2 linked regions of the Lepisosteus oculatus genome follow. The protein of the gene in region 1 interacts with the protein of each later gene in a biochemical or structural test. Links are inferred from orthologs where the notes say so. Each region holds a gene or a part of one and is shown on either strand. Other genes may lie near its edges. The genes, in order: arfip1 and arf3a.

Evidence for each region.
Region 2: the proteins of arfip1 (region 1) and arf3a form a complex in vitro, tested with the Homo sapiens proteins (2 studies listed by BioGRID). The link is inferred for Lepisosteus oculatus from reciprocal best matches to the Homo sapiens genes ARFIP1 and ARF3.

What each region holds. Positions count from the first base shown.
Region 1 is NC_090696.1:25,107,327-25,119,335, forward strand, and holds the start of arfip1 (arfaptin-1), read right to left. Parts: upstream 4,486-12,009; 5' UTR 4,467-4,485; intron 4,461-4,466; exon of another isoform or gene 4,388-4,460; 5' UTR 4,308-4,387; intron 1-4,307. Other genes in the region: tmem154 (transmembrane protein 154), read left to right, coding at 11,343-11,436. UniProt on the Homo sapiens protein: Plays a role in controlling biogenesis of secretory granules at the trans-Golgi network. Mechanistically, binds ARF-GTP at the neck of a growing secretory granule precursor and forms a protective scaffold.
Region 2 is NC_090696.1:21,837,922-21,849,015, forward strand, and holds the start of arf3a (ADP-ribosylation factor 3a), read left to right. Parts: upstream 1-6,641; 5' UTR 6,642-6,750; intron 6,751-6,774; exon of another isoform or gene 6,775-7,040; intron 7,041-8,767; exon of another isoform or gene 8,768-8,893; intron 8,894-9,178; 5' UTR 9,179-9,287; coding exon 9,288-9,435; intron 9,436-11,094.

The sequences.
Region 1 (12,009 bases):
AGGAAATGCACAGCAGGTACAGAACTAATAGAGAAATACAGAATGAATACTAAAAAAGTGCCCACTGAAGTAGAAGATAAATAAAATAATTCAGTAAAAGGCTCTACTGACAACACCTGTAAAATATTACTACTAAGAAAGGTTAACTACTGAAAATAATGAAATGATGATGCCGCTGATAACAAACACAAATGTTATCAACGTTTACATCCTAATGATGGGCCCCAAGGCCAGTGTTTCACACTACACTGGCAATCTTTCCCTTGGGGAAAAAAGCTGACTATGGATTCTCATATCCAACCACATGCATAACAGCTGATCAGAACAGGAGAGCGTAGCACCCTGGCTGTAGAATACTCACAACTGTTCTCCACTACTCTGGGCACTAATCCGTGTAAGATATGCTTGGATAAAAATAAAGTCTGGTTACACCACAATGCTATGCTCAACAAAACAAAGCTCCATTTCATTTTAACAAGATATCAAAATCATTAGGTTTAAAAAAAACTATAAGATTAAATCAATATGAATATTTAGTCTTTTCAAATAAATAAAATAGGGTCAAGAAAACAGAGGTCAGAAAATAATCAAGCAACTATGATCATAATAGGACAAATTGTGTACCTTGAAAACGTGGTGAGATGGAATCGGTAGAAAAAAGATGGCAGCACTTTAAAGATATACTGCTTGAAGCACAGAGCAAACATCTTGTGGATCAAATAGATACAAATATTCATTTGTTCCCTTACCTATTAAAGCAATTAATACAAAAAAAATGGCAAGGGTAATTGCAACTGTGTCAGTATAAGCCAATTAAGTTGTAATAAACTATGTTCATGTAATATGTCACGACCACACTGTCACAGGTTCTGGATGTGTAATAAATGTAATGTGTAATGTTTTGTGATGTATTTAGATGTACAGAAGAGCTAAGTGTCCATAAAATTTTCCCTTAGGGGACAATACAAGTTCATCTTATCTTCAGCCCACAATTAACTACATCAAATGCTATAAAGCAGTAGTCCAAGCTGTTTAATATATCATTAACAAAACTTTAGGGAGAAAGAAATCTGTTCTTGGCAGCACAGTGGCACAGTGGGTAGCATCTCTGGGGCTCTGGGTTCAATTCTGGTCTTGAGGTGCTATCTGTGTGGAGTTTGTATGCTCTCCCTGAGTTTGTGTTGGTTGCCCCTGGGTGCTCCACCTACAGTTTTCACCTACAGTCCAAAGTCATACTGATAGGTTAAGTGGCTTCTGAGAAAACTGTCGCCAGATGTGAGTGTGTGCGTGTCTGTGTGCCCTGTGATTGACTAGCGTCCTGTCCAGGATGTGCGATGCCTTGAGTCTGCTGCCTGCTGAGATGGGCTCCAGCGCCCCCACAACCCTGAACTGGAAAAACTGTTCGAAAACAGATGGACGGAAATCTGTTCTTCATTTGAAGAAATGCAGAACAACAAATTGCAAGCTTTGCATGATTAGAACAAATATTGCAATGTTTTTTTTTTAATGAAAAGTTGTTTTGTTCTACAACAGCAAAAGAACAGTAAAGGATGAAGTAAACTGTCACAAGAGACAATAGGAGCCTTTTAAAATTTGAAAGGAAAATGTCTATTTTCTGAGGACTTAATTTACATGTTAAGTAAATGACACTTCTACTGACTATCAGGAAAGAAGATGCCACTTCTAGACCTCAACACAGGAGTACCCACTGACTAGAAAATTGGAAAACTGCCCAAGTAACACACAACATACAAGGCATGACAAAACCAAACAAAACAATTATAGACTTTTTATCATCTGCTCAATGAAGGGAACTGGCTGACAACTATTTGCTCTGAGTGAACTCTAAATTACTGAATTTACTTAATCACTTGCCTAACTGATCAAATTTCAACAGGTCTATGTCTTCAATGCTACCATGCTGCCAGAGATTTCTAAGACTAAGCTGGAGACCACTGTCTTTACAAAATTTCAGTTTGTTGGTAACTGTTTACTAACTGACCAGATTGTTTTGTTCCTATTTTCCTATGAATGCACCTGCATTTAAAACTGAAATCAACATTTGAGAACACCGTTAGTCCTACTTGCAGCACAAATAAGATTTCGGCCATGGAGCCTTCTTCAGGTGTGAGCTGAAGAAGGCTTACACCCGAAGAAGGCTCCATGGCCAAATCGTTGTGTTTTCTTTCTTCTCTTTTCAGCACGGAATAAACCTATTACTTGTTCCTTTGCAGCCTTTGCATGCTGACGCAGCTACCCACCTGAACTACATATATCATATTTGTTCTTTTTCTGATGAAATACAAACATCCCGGCTGGAAATTCAGCCACAGTTCTTAGCTTTATCTTATATTTAAAGAGGAAACAGTGAAAAGAACAATTACATGGAAGACTATATTTATTGGCCTTCCAGGAGTAACGTCTCAAAAAGGGTCCATTTTGTTTTTAGCAACCTAGGTTTGGATAGTCTTGTCTCTTCTCATATCCCATCATACTCTTACTCCGTTTGTTCCTATCTCTGCCAACACTCTGGTCCTGTTTGCTCTTGAGTTCCGTATTTCCCTCCTCCCTTACCTTACTGTGGTTGAAATTCTGACTCGTGATAGAAGCTCAATGCTCAATCACCTTGTGGTGCACCATCAAACCTCGCCTGTTCACTTGAAATTCTAAATTTTACAGTCTTTTCCAGCTTTACAACTATTACTTCTTGTTCTGGCATGATACAAGTCTTTTGATATTTAAAAGGTACTGACTAGCAAAGTAAACAGGACAGGTTAAGAACTTGAAGACACCAGTAAAACTAAGAGGGTGTACATTTGAACTGCAAAGAGGTGGGAGCTTTTCACAAAAAAGGGTTAACAGTGACTTGAACTTCCCAACCATGTTGTCAACGCAGATTAAGATATTTCAAGAAACTGGAATGATGAAGACTCAGGAATATTACACTATCGACCAAAGATGAGCCAATTGTAACTTTTCCTATGTTTTTACTCTATAACAGTAATATTGTTTTACTGCACACCTATGGTCATGCAGTACATGATACTGTTTTACACTGTACTTCTTGTTATTCCATGCTGCATTTGTTTATCCATGTAACATGCATACATCAATGTTACTCATACACAGTGCGATTTAAATAGTTTACTTGTACTGATGTTTTCCTTTAAATAATGTTTTATCTGTAAATGATGTGATAAAGGAATCAGCACAATGAATGAGAACACTGATGATAGGATACTTCATCATGAGAAAAAACTGGCTAATTTTAAATACACAGTACAGTGACTGTCATGTCTATAATAACTTAGGTCTTTATGTTCACGCTTCTACCAGATACTGAAATGTTAAAATAAAACTAGGCAAACGATGAACAAATGAGGAAGACAGAAAATCAGGAAGCGAAGGTGTTAGACGATACCAAGCATACCTCTGACAATTGTAATCGGAAGAGCAAATAAAAATGACGTTGGTCATACAAGAAAATAAATTGTAACTAAGAATCTAAGGCATCAGAATTACAGTTTACTACACAGTACTGATGCAACACGGCTCCTTTAAGAATGCAGAAGGAAGCGCATCAACGGCTCCATCTGGATGTGAGAGACACGTAAACGGTAGTTACACAAGCCAACTACAACTCTTAAAACTCCCAACAACTCCTTCATAACACAGCATCAACTTTAAAACGTACGTTAGGTTTATATGTACAGTATGCTCCTCTAGTTTCAAGTGATTTCTAATAATGCCAGGCTACTCTAATGGTTTTTTCCTTTGAGCCCTGGGTCTAATACCGAAATCCAATACTTCCTGAGAAATTCTACTCGAACTCATTTAAGGCTTCACAAAGCAAGTAACACTACACTTTGATTTTTAAGGGTAACGTCTTTAGAAAGGGGAAGTGAAGATTTGTTCAGAATTACACAAGCAAGGCTAACGTTTATAGACGGCTCTGTCAATAACTCCACCGCTCTGGGGAATCGTACAAGACGTCAGCCTAATCCTCGACGTCGCCCACAGCACGCAACTTGATCCACAGCCACAGAAGCAAACTTGCAAGTCCCTCGTGAAGCCGATCACAAAAACAGGGCTCCACTTGTTCCTTCGTCTACACTAGCAACCAAACTGAGCCGTTCTCTCTCAACTTTTTGTGCCTCCGCCACTGGCACCACTTCCCACACACCCCCCTGCGACACCAACACCTATGGTCGCGACTAGCTTACCGCTGTAGGGAAAATAAACCGTATCTTCAACAACAACAAAAAAACGTTTCGCCCTCCTACTAGAACAAGCAAAGAAACTCTTACCTGCTATTGTCTTCCGGGGCTCTACTGTTCCTGCAAATGGGGTGGCGGCGGGTTTTCGTCTTGGCGATGCCGTTGCCCTGCTGTGTTAAATTACAGTGTTAGCACTAGCAGCGTTTTGCAGCACCCATTGGATCACCCCCCCCGCGCGCACACACTCACACAGTGGAGTCGCAGAGACCCGGAAGGAGACGGTTTCCAGGCGAGAAGAACAAGAAAGGGCAACAACATCCGGGCTCTTTCTCGAGCTGAAGGGGCGCAGCTTGGGTATCCCTTAATTGCACTGCGGGCACGCTTTGCGGTTGCGTATACAGTATGTACAAGAACTTCCTTTCGCGAACGTAGTACTGTAGTTTTTTTTTTGCCGTCATTGCAAAAGTAACTGTAAAATAGCCAACGTTGAAAATTATTTTATTTATCAGTATCGATGTATTTCTGTTCATTGTGGAAATATTTTATTTAATTTATTTTCTGCACGCTTGAAGGAGCGTGTAAAAACAACCGGACAAATGTCTTCCTAAATACCCCCTTTGTCGTTGGATAAGGAAAGCACGGTTGCGGGTTATTATGTAAATGTAAATGCAAAATTAAAGTGGACGTTTCAGCTTTGAATTCGTTGTTTTAAAAGATGGGTCACCTTAAGAGACAGGAGACAAGTATTTTTTTTTAAGCTCTGAACACAGTAACCCTCCCATGATCAGTTCAAAAGAGCATCGAGATAGTGTTAATGTTTGGTCGGTCTTTATGTATTTTGTATATTTTATATATATATAAATAACACGGCTATCAATTGTTGCCTGTTTCAAGCTAAACAATATAGAAACTATCTTCTGTGAAGGAAATGGAACTGGAACAGAGACGAACCAACTCATTTTTGACTTTTTGAAATTTGATAATCCAGAACCAAATAAAACCAGTGTCCATCCCTGAATATATAACATAACATCACTTTATTAGCCCTATACAATTTCTTGCATTAGGAATTTGTCTTTTTGCATACCTCCAGCTTGCTCTCCATGAGACACACAGATAGGGAGAGAGCCTGAGGTCAGAGCACAGAGTCAGCCATTTTACAGCACCCCTGAGCCAGCAACCTCGCAGCCACAGGTGGAGATCCTTACCCACAGAGCCACCACTTCACCCCATATTATAGCAGAAGTTCAGGACTGTCAGTCCCCAATAACTGCAACATGGAATGAGAAGAGCCTCTTTATTGAGGTGAAAGTAAACTTAAGTGCTGTAGCTTGTAAAATAAAGCAAACAAGATGGTACCAGTTATGAAATAAAAAACAAAACACTCATCCATGTACAAAAAAAGATCTTGAATGCTTGTCAATCATTCCAGAAATCATGGTGTATGTACCAGTTAAGGGACCCATGCTTTGGGTCAGACTAAATGATTTTAGTTAGAACCTAGGATGATTTCAGGGTGCAGTATTGGCTGGCTAGATTATTTGATGTCACAATATGGTCTTTTCACTCTCAATCTGTGGAATGTCTTTTATCATCTGCAGGCACTTCAACAGTTTGGTAGCAGACTGTGCTGCCCTATTATTTGAATGAATATCAAGCAAGATGTGTTTAATGTTGGTGAGACAAAGTTGCTGTATCAGATGTTAAACTTCGAGTACTGCTGCCTTTAATGCTGATGGTAGCAGTCGATATGAATTTTTTTTCATTAGATAAGATCACTTTATTAGCCCTATACAATTTCTTGCATACACACACATAGGGAGAGAGAAGCCTGGGGTCAGAGTGCAGGGTCAGCCATTGTACAGCACCGCTGGAGCAGCTGGGGTTAAGGGCCTTACTCAGGGGCCCAACAGAGTAGGATTGTAGTATTTGAACCAGAAACCTTCCAGCCACTGGCGCAGATCCTTAGCCACGATATGGATGGGTTGGAAAAGCTTCCTTTGTTATTAGTTGGTACAAATAAAGACCTTAAAAACATCGGGTCACTACCAGTGGATTACAGGTCAACCAGCACAGGATGCCTGACCCAAGAAGTGTGAAAAATGTCTTTGTAAATTGGATAGAAGATTTAATGCTCAAAAGCAACAGATAGCTTTGTTAGCCAATGCCCTGTGTACCCCGCATATCTCCAGTTCATTGAGCTCTCGCCTTTCCCTTTTTCTATGACAGCTAATGAGCACCCAATGAAGCATGGAACCATTAAAAGCTTTACCATAAACTACAGGCTCCAGCTGCTGATCAAGCGGTTTATTGAGTGTGTGGAGAAAAACAAGGAGTTCACTTTATCACCGTTGGAGGTAGCAGATATGTTACACCTGAGCTGGAGAAGTGTGATTGAGCAAACATTTTCATCTAGTTAAAAAAAAGGCCAAATTCAAGCCACAGAATGAAACAGCAGGCGTGGAAACAATAGCCAAAGACAACAACAGAGAACGTGCATTCCTGATGTAACATCTGCAGGATTTTAGTTGCATACCAATAATGACAATAATGCCGATCCCATTTTTAATTTACTTCTTTATGTAACTGTTTTAAATTTCCTGCCCGTGTCTAATCCAATAAGGAATAAAATTAGGCTTAATTATTTTGTTTTGTCCGGTGGATTTACAATAATGTGAACTGGTGCAGTGTACAGAAATCACTTGAGATATTCATAAAGTATTTCAGGGCTTAATTGCCCTGAAAATGCATCTTGGAGAGTTTGCAAGAGGTTTAGCAAAATTACTTCAAATAGTCTTCTTTACAATGATCTAGTGTGTGGTAAACACATAACGAATTATTTGAAACACATGGATCTCCATATTACATAGTTTAATCTAACTGCTAAAAAATGACATTAACTGACATTGTACACAATCAAAGAAAGCAGAGGAATTCAGAAGTCTCGTATCATCTGAAATATTTAAGTATTTAAATAGTTTCCAATATTTAATATTTGTCAAAATGACAAAAAAATTAACAAATCAGCTGACCTATTTCAGTTGACAAAAAGTTGTACAGGACATGTAGTAATCTCCAGTAATCCCTACAGTGTTGTCAATGGATTACACTTGATATGTCGGCTGGAAGGCAAGTGTAATAAAAGGCAACTGAATATAAATTAAACTTCACTCAGAATGACAGATTATATGAAGACTTATACAAAGTTGTACAGTAAGATGCACAACTAATGTAAGTGACTTTTACAGTATGTGTTCTCACTGCCATTGACAAATACTGTCAAATAATTTGTTTCCTGTTTTCAAAAGGAAGAAAACTGGTAATTATTGAGCATGCTCTATGTGGAGTTTATTTTACATCATAAGAAAGTTTTCAGAATACATGAAAATGAACGCTCCATTTTAGATGAAGCACTTAAACATAACTTGAAAAAACATGCCACTGGGTGTATGGGAAAACCTTATGTCACTTGCCATACAGATTATCCTCTAGTTAAGTTCTAATTATTGTTTCCATAGCCTTAAATAATTAATAGAAACTAACTCCATTTAGACGCCATCTGCATTGATGGGGCTGTATTCCTGCCAATGGGTGTCACCCCTGTCTCCAAACAGTTGCTGCAAGATTTAGCTAAGCAGACCATTATTAAGCGAGCCATGCAGGATCAGGCAGTGCTGTGTTCTCAGTATATTTCAAGATCTAAATTATACATGTCATTTCTTTTTTTACAGCTCAGCATTGTATCAGAAAACCTGCTGTGTTTCAAATTCACTCACTGTCATCTAATAATGACTTGTTTACTTTTGTAAAGTCTTCTTTGTTTAAGTTGCTGTAAATGTAAAAAAATCCCTTTAAATTCACACTCAAGTCTCAGCTGTCTGCTTCTTTGAAACCTTGTAGCATTGGTCGATCAGATGATCTATAAGAGAATGGTGAACAAAGTGCTTGAATCGAATGCATTGGGACATGGTCGAGACAGGAAATGGGATGCTGCTTTTACAAAGAAGGACAGGTATGTTGATTAGTGTGCTACCTGTCAGCCAATGCTCAGAATAATCTTTAATTAAACCAATGTTTATGTAACAGCAAGAAGTGAATTTGCTACTTTGTGCTTGAGGTATTATTATTAAGGTTGCTGCTGGAAGAGGTGTTAGTGGGGCCAGCAGGGGGCGCTCACCCTGTGGTCCATGTGGGTCCTAATGCCCCAGTATAGTGACAGGGACACTATACTGTAAACAGGCGCCGTCCTTACTGACTCTCTGTGGTCATTAAAAATCCCAGGGCGTTTCTCGAAAAGAGTAGGGGTGTAACCCCAGCATCTTGGCCAAATTTCCCATTGGCCCAGTCATGGCCTCCTAATAATCCCCATCTTGAATTGGCTTCATTACTCTGCTCTCCTCCCCACTGATAGCTGATGTGTGGTGAGTGTTCTGGCGCACAATGGCTGCCATTGCATCATCCAGGTGGATGCTGCACATTGGTGGTGGTGGAGGGGAGTCCCCATTACCTATAAAGCACTTTGAGTGGATTGTCCAGAAAAGCACTATACAGTATAAGTGTAAGCAATTATTATTATTTCCACTTAAATCCACTGATGACCTTAAAAACTAAGGTACCAAAGAAAATTACACATGAAAGTAAAACCAGTATTAGTTAAACTTATTTCCTCCTTAAACTTAATTTCCTGGATTGCTCTACCTTTAGCTCTACACTGGCAATAGCCGTTATTGAACACGTCACAGCTACAGCTACAACTGCAGTGAAATAGGAGGAAACATGACAGTGCTTGTAGAACACATTTGTGCCACAAGATGGAGGCAATGAGACAGACTTCAGAAAAGAGTTCGTGTTTTGGTTCAGAATGTTCTGTGTGTTATATCTGGAAGAATCCTTACAACACTATTTATTATTCTTATGTATTATAGATTTTATAATTAATCAAGTGAAGGCCTGTTTTAATACCTGCCCCTTATGTTTTGAGAAAACCCTAAATCCAGGATAAAGCTTGATACATCTAAACTTAATCTTCAAAAGATTTTGTTTCTAGATAAGGTTTATGACAAACAACCAAGATGAAACTCAGCATAAGTTAATGCATTGTATGGCTATACCCTGGATTCTCTTAGGCTAGTTGCTTGCTGTGGAGAGCCTGTATGCTCCTGGGGAACAACATTCCCATCACAGTCTCATCTTACACCTAGACATCTTACATGGACAAGGCAAGATGTCTGATATAGCAATTACAGTGCACTATCTCTTCAAAGGTTCTGTTCACTCTGTTCAGTCCTTTGCTTCTATTATAAAGATGCTGCTCTCTGATCCCCTTTTTACCCCACCCTCTGACCAATCTGCATTATATTATAGCCATCTTTAAACTAAATACTATAGTAAACCAATATTTCTTGTGAAATAGATCATCCATCCATAAAACTAACTACAGTTTAATAATGAATAATGAATGCAGTACCAGCACTCAACACTCACTAGCTCAACAATGCAACTTGAAAAACAAAGAAAGTCAAAATACCAATAAAAAGAATGAAGGTAGTGTAGCAGAATAGATTTCTAAATAAGGAAGAGCATGTCCTGGGCTAACCTGCAACCAGTCAGAATTAGTGTTCAGTGAGTCATTATTGTATCATAATTCAGTCAGTTGTCTTTTCCCCAGGTTTAGGTTTAACAGACTTATTTTCCAAGATGAAGGACATGACTATCCTAGACTAATCCTGAGCTCATAAATATGACTGCAAATGAAGTTCTAAAAAAAAATAATGGTACCATAATATTAGGTCTCAAAATTAAAAATGAAGCAAAGGAAAATAAATCCCAAGAACCAGTCTTGATATTGTATTTTTCCATATTAATGTCTGGGCACGCTACCAATTTAACAGTTAAAAGTCTTATAAAAGGTGAGAGTTCATGTGCTAAAGTATCATTAAAACAATTTTCTCAGGACTTAATAACCGATTAAAATATATTATAGGGAAAGATGTTGTTTGTTATGTCCGGGCAAGCCACAGCTCATCGTCCTCGGTCTCCACGGAAACCAGCCGCATTCCCACGAGACTCCCAGAGCTGTGAGGTCTCACTCGGGCTGCTTGTCATAACCACCCGCCATCAATTAAAGGGTGATTATTCCATCAGTCCAAGACAACCTTGATCTGCCTGTAGTCCAGTGCTCTGTCATTGAGCTGCCATCTGGATAGGGTAGTGCCTGCTGCACAACAAGCCTGCTTCCAAGAAGGACAACAAGCCCGACTTCAGCCCGAGTATTTGTTCGTCTCAAACCCGCTCTGTCTGTCGGCCAGCCAAGCACCGGACCAGTGACAAAGAACCGTAGCTCCTGCCAGACAGCCCTGAGTGTCGGCACAGCCACCGGGACCTGCTCAGCCCCTTCAGCTGCAGTAGCTCTCGGTCTCAGATTAACCTGTGTGCCACTGCTGTTCAGCTATCTCTACCTGCCTTCATACTCTGATCTGGTTCGGCTATCTCCTTCAGCTTTAGTCATTCCCCGAGGCTTGACTGGGATCAAGGGTTTGGATTCCTCTGCCTGTCAGCCAAACATGGTTTTCTACATCTGATTGCCCTGTCGTAAAATTATTATCATAGGCTTTACCTTTCCTGCTGAAATGATTGACCTACCTAATACAAAGCTATTCTTCAATATCCATTTTAATGTAGTGCATTTGTATTGTATTGTTTTCAAAACTGAACAGTGGTGGTTTCTTCATGTTATTGATAAGATCAAAAGTATGCCCCGTTAAAGCAGCAGTTAAGAGCAGACTGCATGCGTTATGAAGAATTTTCCAGTTAACAAGGTATCTAACAGTGAATAATATTGAATCCCTGGTAAAACGATGTAAAGAAAATGCAAAAACCTCACCGTTCCCTATTTCCTGGGAAGTTAGGGCTTCTGGCAAGTCTGCATACCTTAGGTGGAGGAATTTACTTTTCAGCAAGCAAAACAGCAACCAGGCTTGTGGCTACAAGCTCTTAGCTGATTGCATCACATCCGACAGAAATTACCCTGTTTTAGTCAGAACCTTAGGTAAGAAAACTCAGTCAGGAAACAGGAAATACAGAATGTCATGATCTCAAGTGAAGAAATCAGGGCACAATGGCATTATGTCTTCTTATGATCAAGGCAAAAAGCAACGAAAAGACTGGGAAATGGCCTTACCTCTGCTGTTGTTGCTAATTGCAGGGCTAGCTGGAACTGGTATGTACTAGAACAATTCATTTCAATGAACATTTTCCTGTATAGCAGAGCTGATGGTTCCTCTTTTTACAAAAACCTTTTCATTTATAACCAGGTAGGAATCTTCCTTTGTTTTTTAAAGGCTGTTTGAACAGAATTGTTGGTCTTACTCTGGGCTTGGTTAAAGAGTTTGAAATTTCTTCTGAGCAAATGACAGACCACGAGATGTTTAACCTGGGTTTGTTTTGAATTCTTGTGGTTATTAGGCAAAGGTTATGAGGCAAAAGTGCAGCTTTCCTGTACCTCACAAAGTTTTTTCTGTTAAATATGACTGATTTCTTCACCTTCTAGATGTGTAGAATTAATTTTTATGTTGGTTTTATTTCCAACAAGCAGTTCTTTACAAATCATCACTTTATTCACTAAATTAGAATGCCTACAGTTATAGTTCATTTAATTTTTTTGTACAATATGTGGAGCCCAGTGATAACAATGGCCCCACATATTGTACATTGAATTCATAGCCTGAAAGGCAGCAATGCCTTTATATTTCTTTTTTTTTCCACTGACATTAACCATGGTTCTCCTCACATT
Region 2 (11,094 bases), about 3.3 Mb from region 1:
ACGGCGAGGGGAATTTCCTGTAACTTGTGTCACACAGGCCGCGCGGGCTCGCGGCGGACTGCTGTGTCACTGCCGCCTGCGCACGCTCGCTCGCGCACAGCGCCTAATGAGGACCAGACCCTGCGCCGAGAGGGGGAGGGGGGGGGCGCAGAGGCAGGGAGAAGGTGAGAGGAAAGGGAGAACAGGGCAGAGGGGAAGAGAGATTTGTGCGGCTCCCGTCCCTCTTGGCCAGACAGACGGCGAGGCGCTCTGGCGCGCTCCGGACTCGTGTGACACGCAGGGCGTCGCGATCCGCCAGCTCCTGGCAGAAAGAACGGAGAAGTGGGAGAAAAAAAAAATTGCACAAACACAAAACATGAAACAACATCTGTACAAACAAACAGCTGGAAACATCTGCTCACAGCCACCTCCCTGCCTTCTCCACCCCCCCCCCCTCCCTCCCCACAATTTTCTGTCCCTCTCCCCATCTCCCCAGTGATGTGGGAGAGAGGGAGATTGCTAGCAGCTAGCTACCCAGAACATCAAAGCTCTCTTCCCAACATGGAAGCCCTCATTAGTTCTGCAGCTTGAAACCACAGGCTCGTGTTTCTGCATCACTGGGGCGCAGCTTGGCAGTGACTTCAGAGCAGGGCTTCTTTCAATTAGAAACCACCCCAGCACCCCCCTCCTTCCTCCCCCAAGGCCCAAACACGGCGCTCTCTTGCTCCCGGTCAGCCCTCTGGCCCCAGCTCTGCTCCGCACCTTCCCAGAGGCCCACGTCTGCCCCCCACACCCTGCCTCAGCTCCCACACACACAGCCCTGCATGGGCACAGAGCAGGGGCAGGAGAGCGATGGAGGATACAGAGCAGGGGCAGGAGAGCGATGGAGGGCAAAGAGCAGGGGCAGGAGATCGATGGAGGATACAGAGGAGGGGCAGGAGAGCGATGGAGGGCAAAGAGCAGGGGCAGGAGCGATGGAGGGCACACAGAGAGCAGGGGCAGGAGAGCGATAGAGGGCACAGAGAGCAGGGGCAGGAGCGATGGAGGGCACAGAGAGCAGGGGCATGAGAGCAATGGAGGGCACAGAGAGCAGGGGCAGGAGAGCAATGGAGGGCACAGAGAGCAGGGGCAGGAGAGCGATAGAGGGCACAGAGAGCAGGGGCAGGAGAGCGATGGAGGGCACAGAGAGCAGGGGTAGGAGAGATGGAGGGCACAGAGAGCAGGGGCAGGAGAGCGATGGAGGGCACAGAGAGCAGGGGCAGGAGAGCGATGGAGGGCACAGAGAGCAGGGGCAGGAGAGCGATGGAGGGCACAGAGAGCAGGGGCAGGAGAGCAATGGAGGGCACAGAGAGCAGGGGCAGGAAAGCGATGGAGGGCACAGAGAGAGCAGGGGCAGGAGAGCGATGGAGGGCACAGAGAGCAGGGGCAGGAGTGATGGAGGGCACAGAGAGCAGGGGCAGGAGAGCGATGGAGGGCACAGAGAGCAGGGGCAGGAGAGCAATGGAGGGCACAGAGAGCAGGGGCAGGAAAGCGATGGAGGGCACAGAGAGCAGGGGCAGGAGAGCGATGGAGGGCACAGAGAGCAGGGGCAGGAGTGATGGAGGGCACAGAGAGCAGGGGCAGGAGAGCGATGGAGGGCACAGAGAGCAGGGGCAGGAGCGATGGAGGGCACAGAGAGCAGGGGCAGGAGAGCAATGGAGGGCACAGAGAGCAGGGGCAGGAAAGCGATGGAGGGCACAGAGAGAGCAGGGGCAGGAGAGCGATGGAGGGCACAGAGAGCAGGGACAGGAGAGCGATGGAGGGCACAGAGAGCAGGGGCAGGAGAGCGATGGAGGGCACAGAGAGCAGGGGCAGGAAAGCGATGGAGGGCACAGAGAGAGCAGGGACAGGAGAGCGATGGAGGGCACAGAGCGCAGGGGCAGGAGAGCAATGGATGATTCAGGGTGCAGAGAGAGAAAGAGGACAATGAGTGAGGGAGCGATGGAGGCTGAGAGACAGAGGCTGTCCAGGAGTCACAGAGGGAGAGAGAGGGACTCAGCAGTCTGTTGTTCCTGAAGCAGCTCCCGCTGCAGCCGGCCCAGTAAATGAGTTCCAGACCGTGTTTTAAGTGGCTTTCCGCAGGAAGACGTCCCATTTGGAGATCTGTCACTGCACCGCTGTCATCCGGGGCTGCTGCCCTGTGATGTGGGCTGGCTGGGACGGTGGAGGGGCGGGTGGGGGTGGCAGCTGGATGGAATGGGACTCCTGTCAGGCCGGATGAAGGGAATGTGACTCCCGGGCGGAGGGAGAGAGAGAGAGAGAACCTGCATGGCCGGTGAGTCACGCAGAGAGAGAAGCCCAGGGACGAGAGGGAGGCCAAGGCCTGCAGATGGAGCCACTTAGTCTCGAAAGCGGACGAGCAGCTGGGGAATGTGGGGGGGCGGCTCATCTGAGCTCCTGTAGGGGCTGATTCACCACGAACGCAGTCCTGGAGTCCGGAGAGCTCAGCAGAAATAGAGAGCTCACACACAGCAAGGTCTCACGGCCTCGTGCTCGGGTTTGTGTGAGGAATAGGGTTAGGCTGAGGGCTGGACGCCTAAATTACTTTTGTTTCCAAAGGATGTCAAAGCTCTTCACACACAGGAGGGGACCCAGCTCCTCCCCAGTGAAGAGCAGCCCCTCCTGGGAGACACACTGCAGCCCCACTGCACAGCAGCTCAGGGCAGGAGAGAGACACTGCTGCTCCAGGGGGTGAAGGGAGGTCACTGGTGTTAACACACCTGCTCTGACAGTGTCATTGGATCTTTAATAATCCAAATAGACCTTTGTTTAATGTCTCATCTGAAGGAAGGTACTTCTTACAGCACAGTGTCCCTGGCCGTCACACTGGGGTATTGATTTAGAAATTCTGGTTTTGGTGAAACAGTGCCCCCTTCTGGTTCACCAACAGCTTCCATAGCATTAGCCATCTGGTTTCCTCAGTCTCTCCTGCCAGTACTGACCTCGCTTCGCTTCTGAGATCTGGCCAGACTGAAAGGTGAGAAGCCAGCTTATGTGTACAGTAAACTCACCGCAACATACAGTCAGACAATATCGAAGAGGGTGGAATGGACTCAGTTTCCAGAGAGAGGGACAAGAAAGGGGAAGTCTTGAGACAGTAAAGGAACAATAAGGAGGATCTTGTTTCTTAAGTTCCAGCTCCACTGTGAAGACATTTTTTTATAAATCCTGTGTCTTGAAAATTATTAAATTACCAAAATAATTATTCACAGGTTGTGCTGGGTCTGATCTGCAGCAGTTTGTTTAAATCCTAACAAACATGAGAGAGAGGGTATACTGTATGCAGCTCACCTGGTTGAGGAAATACAGCACCTTGCAAAAGTATTCACCCCCCCTTGGACTTTTTCACAGTTTATTGTGTTACAGCATGGAACTATGACCTATTTAACTGGATTTCTTTTTTCACTTTGACATTATAGAGTACTTTGTGTTGATGAGTGGCAAAATGTATCAGTTAAATACATCACGGTTCCATGCTGTAACTCAATAAAATGTAAAAAAGTCCAAGGGGGGTGAATACTTTTGCAAGGCCCTATAAGCAGTCTCATCAGAAGGACCGGGCTGCTCAGACCCCTCTCAGATCACGAGGATTGAGCCAGGGAGCTGCTGCAGGGGTGGTGGGAGGAGTACGAGAGAGATGCACTATGGGAGTGCCCCTAGGTACGAGACTAATGTACACAGGCGAGCGGAAGTGTGCGAGATGAGGGTCCAGCCTTCGTCTCAAAGTTTTCTTATAACTTTGCTATAATTCAATGTGTGACAATGGTATGTTTTTGTTGAATTGTAATTTGCAATTGCAATCCACCCATTTTCCAACCCCTTCTTCCAATACAGGGTTGCAGGAGTCTGTCCCAGCAAGCCATAGGTGCAAGGCAGGGTACATCCTGGGCAGGACGCCAGTCCGTTGTAGGGCAGACAGACACAAACACACACTTGCACCACCCAGTTTTCCCAGAAGCCAATTAACCCACCAGCATGTCTTTGGACTGTGGGCAGAAAGCGGAGCACCTGGAGGAAACCCACACAAACATGGGGAGAGCATGCAAACTCCACACAGACAGCACCCCAGGAACTGAACCCAGGACCCCACAACTGCAAGGTAGCAATGCTGACCACTGCGCCACTCGCAATGTTATAATTTCATAGAACTGCCATTTTCAATACAACCTAAAGTTTTCAAACAATTTTTGATTCTCAAAAACAATTTATAGTACTGTCTTGAGGCAAAATAGGGTTTATGACCTCTATCCTGCCACAGTGACAGACAGTGAACTGGGAATAATCAGCATGCAGCAGACAGAACACTGTCACTTTGTTCTGTATAGCACAGCATTATATTAGAGACAGGCCAATAACTGCAAGGTGTCAGAGTACAAAAGATCCGCTTACCAACACAGAGAACAATATTTTAATTAAACTCACCAGGGCAATAAAATCAATCAATTGCACTGAAATGGCAATACAAGTCTTTTATTTTATACATACATTGTCTTGACCCCCAAGAAATTAACCGAAAAGTTTCTAGAGAGAACTGGGGCATTTCTAAGGAAATACAAAATAGGCCATCGCTAGGTTATTTTTGTCATGGGATTCTGGTACTAGTACTAAGAGAATTAATCTTGCATGCTAGTTTTTATAATAAGGCATATTTATAATTTACAAGCACTTCAGCAACATATGTTCAAAACAGATAGGGATAGCTCTCGAGAGCAACTCATCTCTGTAGAAAGATAAGCAGGAAAGAGGTTGAGGACCTGGTAGTATGGTGCCAGGACAACAACCTCTCCCTCAACATCACCAAAACTCAGGAGCTGGTTGTTGACTTCAGGAAGCAGGGAGGAGGCCGCGCCCCTGTCTGCATCCATGGGGCCGCTGTGGAGATGGTCAGGAGCTTCAGGTTCACATCACCAACAGCCTGACCTGGTCCCATCTCACGGGCGGAGAGTCATAAACCAGCGCCTCAGGAGAATCAGGAGATTCGGCATGTCTTCACGTACACTCGGGAATGTCTACGGATGCATTATAGAATGCATTCTCACTGGATGCATTGCAGTCTGGTATGGCAGTTGCCCAGCTCATGAATGGAAATGGCCATCACTGGTGCAGAACCCCCTTCCATCCAGACCAGCCTCACCACACACTGCCCCAGAACAGCGAATAATACAATCAGGGATCATACTGCCCTGGGAATGCACGTTTCTCTCTTCTTCCTCCTGGCAGAAGATATAGGAGTATAAAAGCTTGGACCTCTAGGTTCAAAGAAAGCTTCGCCCGCACAACTGTAGGACTCCTGGACTCCACCTCTAAAATCCTCCACCCACCCACTTAGACCCAGACCCCAGAGGACTACAGAGTTGTCTAAGACTGCAAAACCCGTTTACAATACAACACTATGGAATCTCTTGAAAAAGAAGTAAACTGCTGCACAGACGAGTAAGCAGAAGACTCCTCTTTTGAAGAAGACGGCAGCAGCTGATGACAGAAAACCTCACCCTGCCGCCACACAAGAGGTCAAAGCTTACTGCACGCTTAACCAGGGAGTCGATCAGGAAGAAGGGGGAAATTCGGAACTGGTCAAGTCAGTCTCCTGATCCGAATGCTATTGAGCACACATTTTAGTAGTTGAAAAAGGAAACTAAAGTCAGAAAACCCCACAAAAAGCAAGAACTGTAAGAAGATGCAGTTAAGGCTGGGCTCAGCATCTCAGCGGAACATATGAACATTCGGGTGGTGCTGTTGGACCGCAGGCTTGAAGCAGCCATTGTATGTAAGGAGTATGCATCCAAATACTCTTTACACTGGGCGAATATGCTTGAAGGCAATTTGTCCAGGTACTCACCTGAAATAGGGGATTAAACACAACAAACGACTGCATTCTAACATGGCTAAACAGGTGTGCAAAATAATGCCCAGAAATAAAAGCTGAAATTCTATACGTTTTCCTCATATTAACATTTGAGCTGAAATACAAATTTGTATCAGCGCACAGCAAAAATGTTCAATTATCTTCACTGTTCCAGATACTTCGGTTTTTGACTGTAGATGATATACTATTCACCACATCATTATCACGGCAACAAATAATAAATATGTTCGAACATTTTTTGATTATTCTCTAAACCCTGATAGCTGTAGCACGGTGAGCTACAGAGCAATGTGTTGAGCTACGCTAAAAAGCAATCACAGCGCACCGAACACCACTGTGCTGACAGCCGGGGGCGGCCGGTAGAAGCCGTATTGCTGAACAGCCCAGAGGGGCATCACGTGACAGGAAAAAGCGCTGTCAGGCGATTGAGCTGTTTTCTGTGTTCGCCCTTACCCGGAGTTTTTTATATTAATAATTAACTCGTGGCCATGTGGCCCATAGTTGGGAGCGGTTTTTACATTTTTAAACGGGTTTTCTTGTGTTAGCTCCAGGGAAAAAAGGGGATTTATTTTCTAGGCCATATGGGTACTAGAGGAACAGACAGCGATAACAAGGCAGGGAATTTTGTTCCTAAGATGAAAACCACAAACAAAAACAGACACACACAGAGCGCACTGATGTATACGTGCCTTAAAGAACCGAAATGAGAGCTTTTATTCTCATAAATATTATTAAGACGGTCGTCGTCCGTGCTGCTAGTCTCGCGAGATCTCGGCATGCCTCCTCCCTCTCCCAATCGACAGGGCTGTCCAAGTCTCGCGAGAGTGCGTCTCCCTGCCTGATTTCGGCTGCTGTCACCGTCGGAGGTAAGTGCGGCTCTGCGCAAAGGGATTGAATTAAACAAAGCGAAAAATATGCCCATATTGTCAAAAGCGAGGGACAGAAAATAACAGACCGCACCCTCAGACTACCAACTTTTTTGCGTCGGCGTCCGAAAACCGAGACGGTTGTCGTGACACGGAAAAGAGCGAAGGGTTTTCACTGATCCTGTGTCGTGACTGGCGAGAGAGGAGCAGGGGAGCGGAGGGAGTTCAAGAAAATAACAATAAAAAAAAACGAACGCGGTCGGGAGAATATTTGCTTCTCATAATATCAGGTATACCAGGGTCCAGATTTTTTTTTGCACGCGTATTAGAAATATGTTGTGCATTTGCCTGCGACATACGCGGTAGGTGTGAAAACCATTCATTTATCCCCCGGTAAGACAATAACGCAGCCGGAGCTCACGGAGACGCGACAAAGGCGCACAGCTGCCAGCCCGTGGCCGTGCACACGCGTGTTCACTGCACGGCGGGGACCCGGAGCCCGGGAGCCGCTCCACCTGCGCGGTACGGCGCACCCGCCTCACGGTGCCGCTTCGGGCACGGCAGCGGAGAACAGAGGCGAACGGCGGCGTCCGTCTCCATGGCGGGAGGTTCTGACGAGCAGGGGGGTCGTGTGTAGCCTGAAGTGACAGGGGCTTTCGGAGCCTGTGCTTGGCGCACCTCACTTTCCCAGCGGGGGAGTCGGGAGCCGGGGACAGGTTTAGGCGATCCGCGGCCCGGAAGTGTTGAGTAATCCCGCAGTCTGGAGAGGTGTGAAGCTGCGCTAATGGAGACGGACGGCGCCTCGGCGTCCTGCCCGCCCGCTTCATGAAATCTTCGCAGCCTTGTTTCGGCTGGACCCGCATCCGGCGCAGGGCCTGACGCAGATGCTCGCACATAAGGGTGATGGGTGTCGGTTGTGGCGTGAGAGAAAACAACGGGACGGTGCTCCCTTTCTAGTGGGTGTGAGGCAGGAGCAGTCAGTACCCAGTTGAAAATGCCTTCACTCTCCCTTGTATGGTGGAAGGTGTGAAGACTGGGGTGGTGTGTCTGGAGCGCAGAGTGGCCCAGTCGAGCCCCGGTGTGAGAGGGCGGGGTGTGGGCCTGCGAGACCTCTGATGGGTGAGCCATCGCGGCTCGGGGGGCCGCGGGGCAGGAAGTACACTTCCTGCCGAAGAGCACTTGGGGCCGTTTCTGGTTTTACAGAAGCACGGGGCTGAGGGTAGGGGCCGTGGGTAGTGCATGCCACAGTGGGGGCTCCATTCCCGCTGGAACTGGTACGGGGTGCCTTTAAAGAAAAGGTGACCCAACTCTGTTGCATGCTGGGACGCCGAGCCTACCTGTGCCGTGACAGGCAGGGCCGTTCAGACCCCGTGAAGAACCTGAAGTGGACAACACTGCTGTGGAACAGGGGCCTCATGTCCAGCTCCGGCTCCGTTATTGATGTTTGACTCCAGGCAGAAAACGCAACGGCCGTTTGTAAGAGCTGTCCAGTTCCGGGGAGCAGGCTGGACATCGCAGGGTGGTCCATTTGTCTGCGCTAGTATTTTTCTTTGTGCTCGTATGTCAGCCACTGCCCTGCTAGGTTAGGCACGTGCAGTAAGACTGCGAATTGGTTCCTGTGCCGGTCCAGCACAGCCAGCTGGACCCCTGTGGGGCCAAGCAGCGCCAGTCAGCCAGCAGGAAGTCCCCAGCGAGCTGCACTGTAGCCCTCACTCGTTCCTGCTGCAGGGTCAGGCATTGCGTCTTCAAGGGGAGTCCAGACAGGCCCCCTGCAGCCATGCCCCCCCCGGAGGAGCCCGGCGCTGGGACTCTGTCCTCTCCGAGAGGGACTCTTCTAGAGCCACGTCTCCCCTAGAGCTCTGCGGTGCTGAGTGTGTCTCCTGCACCTCGGGGTCCAGTGTCCGGGATCCAGGTCGCTCCCCGACAGCGGGACGATCCCCTCTGTTCTCCCTGGGGGGGCGGTGGGGGCTCCCCTGAGGTCCAAGAGGTGTTCCGGGAGAGGCTTGGGAATCTTCCTTCCGGGCTCCGGACCCGGCCCTCGTGGTGGCAGAAGCCGAGAGGGCACACGGGGGCACCGTGTTGAGCAAACGAGATGCCTCCCTCCCCCAGCAGTGACTGACCCTAAATAAGGCCCTCTAATACGGTAGATGGCAAGAGCTCTCGGTTCTCTTCAGGGCCTGGTGCTACACTGAAAGTTTGATCCACTCACAAGTTGCAAAATACAGTCATAGTGCCCGGCGATCAGTGTCTGTTTGACAGAGACTGATTGGTTCTGTGTTGCCGGATCCTGTTACTAAGTGCCACATGTCATTTCTGAATCCCTGCAGAGATCTATGCCCAGACTTGACGTGTCATTATACACACAGCAGACGAGTGAGATTCAGCGATAGTGCTCTTTCTAACTGGCCTGGTTCTGTCTCCCCCAAAGTCTGCGATCCCACTGGACGAGCCAGGCGCCGCTGTGAACCAGTCACTCATCCAGGAGCTGCCAGTGCCCACTGCTACCAGCACCGCCTGCTGAGGGAAGGACAGCCGCCATGGGGAATATTTTCGGGAACCTGCTGAAGAGCCTGATTGGGAAGAAGGAGATGCGAATCCTGATGGTGGGGCTGGACGCGGCCGGCAAGACGACCATCCTGTACAAGCTGAAGCTCGGCGAGATCGTCACCACCATCCCCACCATTGGTACAGCACGCTGTTCTCACCCACTTCCAGCCTGCCTGGGTGTAAACCACAGTCCCTCTCGTCAGATTGTTATCCGGGTTGGCTTCCTCTGTAGACCTCAGCATGTGGTTATGTGTTTTTCAGGCTTTGTTCAGTCCTAGAAGCTCGCTTCAGCCTTATTATTCTGCTTGTATTTGCTTCTGGCGTAATACAAAAGGTGGATTGTGGGTGACCGGCAGGGCTGGCAGTGTGGAGCTGTTCACCCATTGTAGCACCGGTTGCGCCCACCTCTGTGCAGATAAATGAGCTGTGATCCAGCAAGGTTAGAGCTGGGAGCTGTCACTGCGTGGGCTGAAGGGAATAAGTAGAGGTTCCAAGGTTTCTTTTTACTGTGCAGCGAGGAATTGACTTCGGCTTGTCACCTGAAGGGAGCAGAGTCTGTGCATGGTGTTTGCAGTGTGGTGACAATTTACAGTGCTCAGTGTCAGTGCTGACGCATCGGTGGTGCCCGGTGTCGGGGGAGAGGGCTGGCGTGTCGGGGGAGAGGGCTGGCGTGTCGGGGGAGAGGGCTGGCGTGTCGGTGGTGGCGTGTCGGGGGAGAGGGCTGGCGTGTCGGTGGTGCCCGGTGTCGGGGGAGAGGGCTGGCGTGTCGGTGGTGGCGTGTCGGTGGTGGCGTGTCGGGGGAGAGGGCTGGCGTGTCGGTGGTGCCTGGTGTCGGGGGAGAGGGCTGGCGTGTCGGTGGTGGTGTGTCGGGGGAGAGGGCTGGCGTGTCGGTGGTGGTGTGTCGGGGGAGAGGGCTGGCGTGTCGGTGGTGTCGTGTCGGGGGAGAGGGCTGGCGTGTCGGTGGTGGCGTGTCGGGGGAGAGGGCTGGCGTGTCGGTGGTGGCGTGTCGGGGGAGAGGGCTGGCGTGTCGGTGGTGCCCGGTGTCGGGGGAGAGGGCTGGCGTGTCGGTGGTGTCGTGTCGGGGGAGAGGGCTGGCGTGTCGGTGGTGTCGTGTCAGGGGAGAGGGCTGGCGTGTCGGTGGTGGCGTGTCGGGGGAGAGGGCTGGCGTGTCGGTGGTGGCGTGTCGGGGGAGAGGGCTGGCGTGTCGGTGGTGCCCGGTGTCGGGGGAGAGGGCTGGCGTGTCGGTGGTGCCCGGTGTCGGGGGAGAGGGCTGGCGTGTCGGTGGTGGCGTGTCGGTGGTGCCCGGTGTCGGGGGAGAGGGCTGGCGTGTCGGTGGTGGCGTGTCGGGGGAGAGGGCTGGCGTGTCGGTGGTGGCGTGTTGGGGGAGAGGGCTGGCGTGTCGGTGGTGCCCGGTGTCGGGGGAGAGGGCTGGCGTGTCGGTGGTGGCGTGTCGGGGGAGAGGGCTGGCGTGTCGGTGGTGCCCGGTGTCGGGGGAGAGGGCTGGCGTGTCGGTGGTGGCGTGTCGGTGGTGTCGTGTCGGGGGAGAGGGCTGGCGTGTCGGTGGTGTCGTGTCGGGGGAGAGGGCTGGCGTGTCGGTGGTGGCGTGTCGGGGGAGAGGGCTGGCGTGTCGGTGGTGGCGTGTCGGGGGAGAGGGCTGGCGTGTCGGTGGTGCCCGGTGTCGGGGGAGAGGGCTGGCGTGTCGGTGGTGGCGTGTCGGTGGTGTCGTGTCGGGGGAGAGGGCTGGCGTGTCGGTGGTGTCGTGTCGGGGGAGAGGGCTGGCGTGTCGGTGGTGGCGTG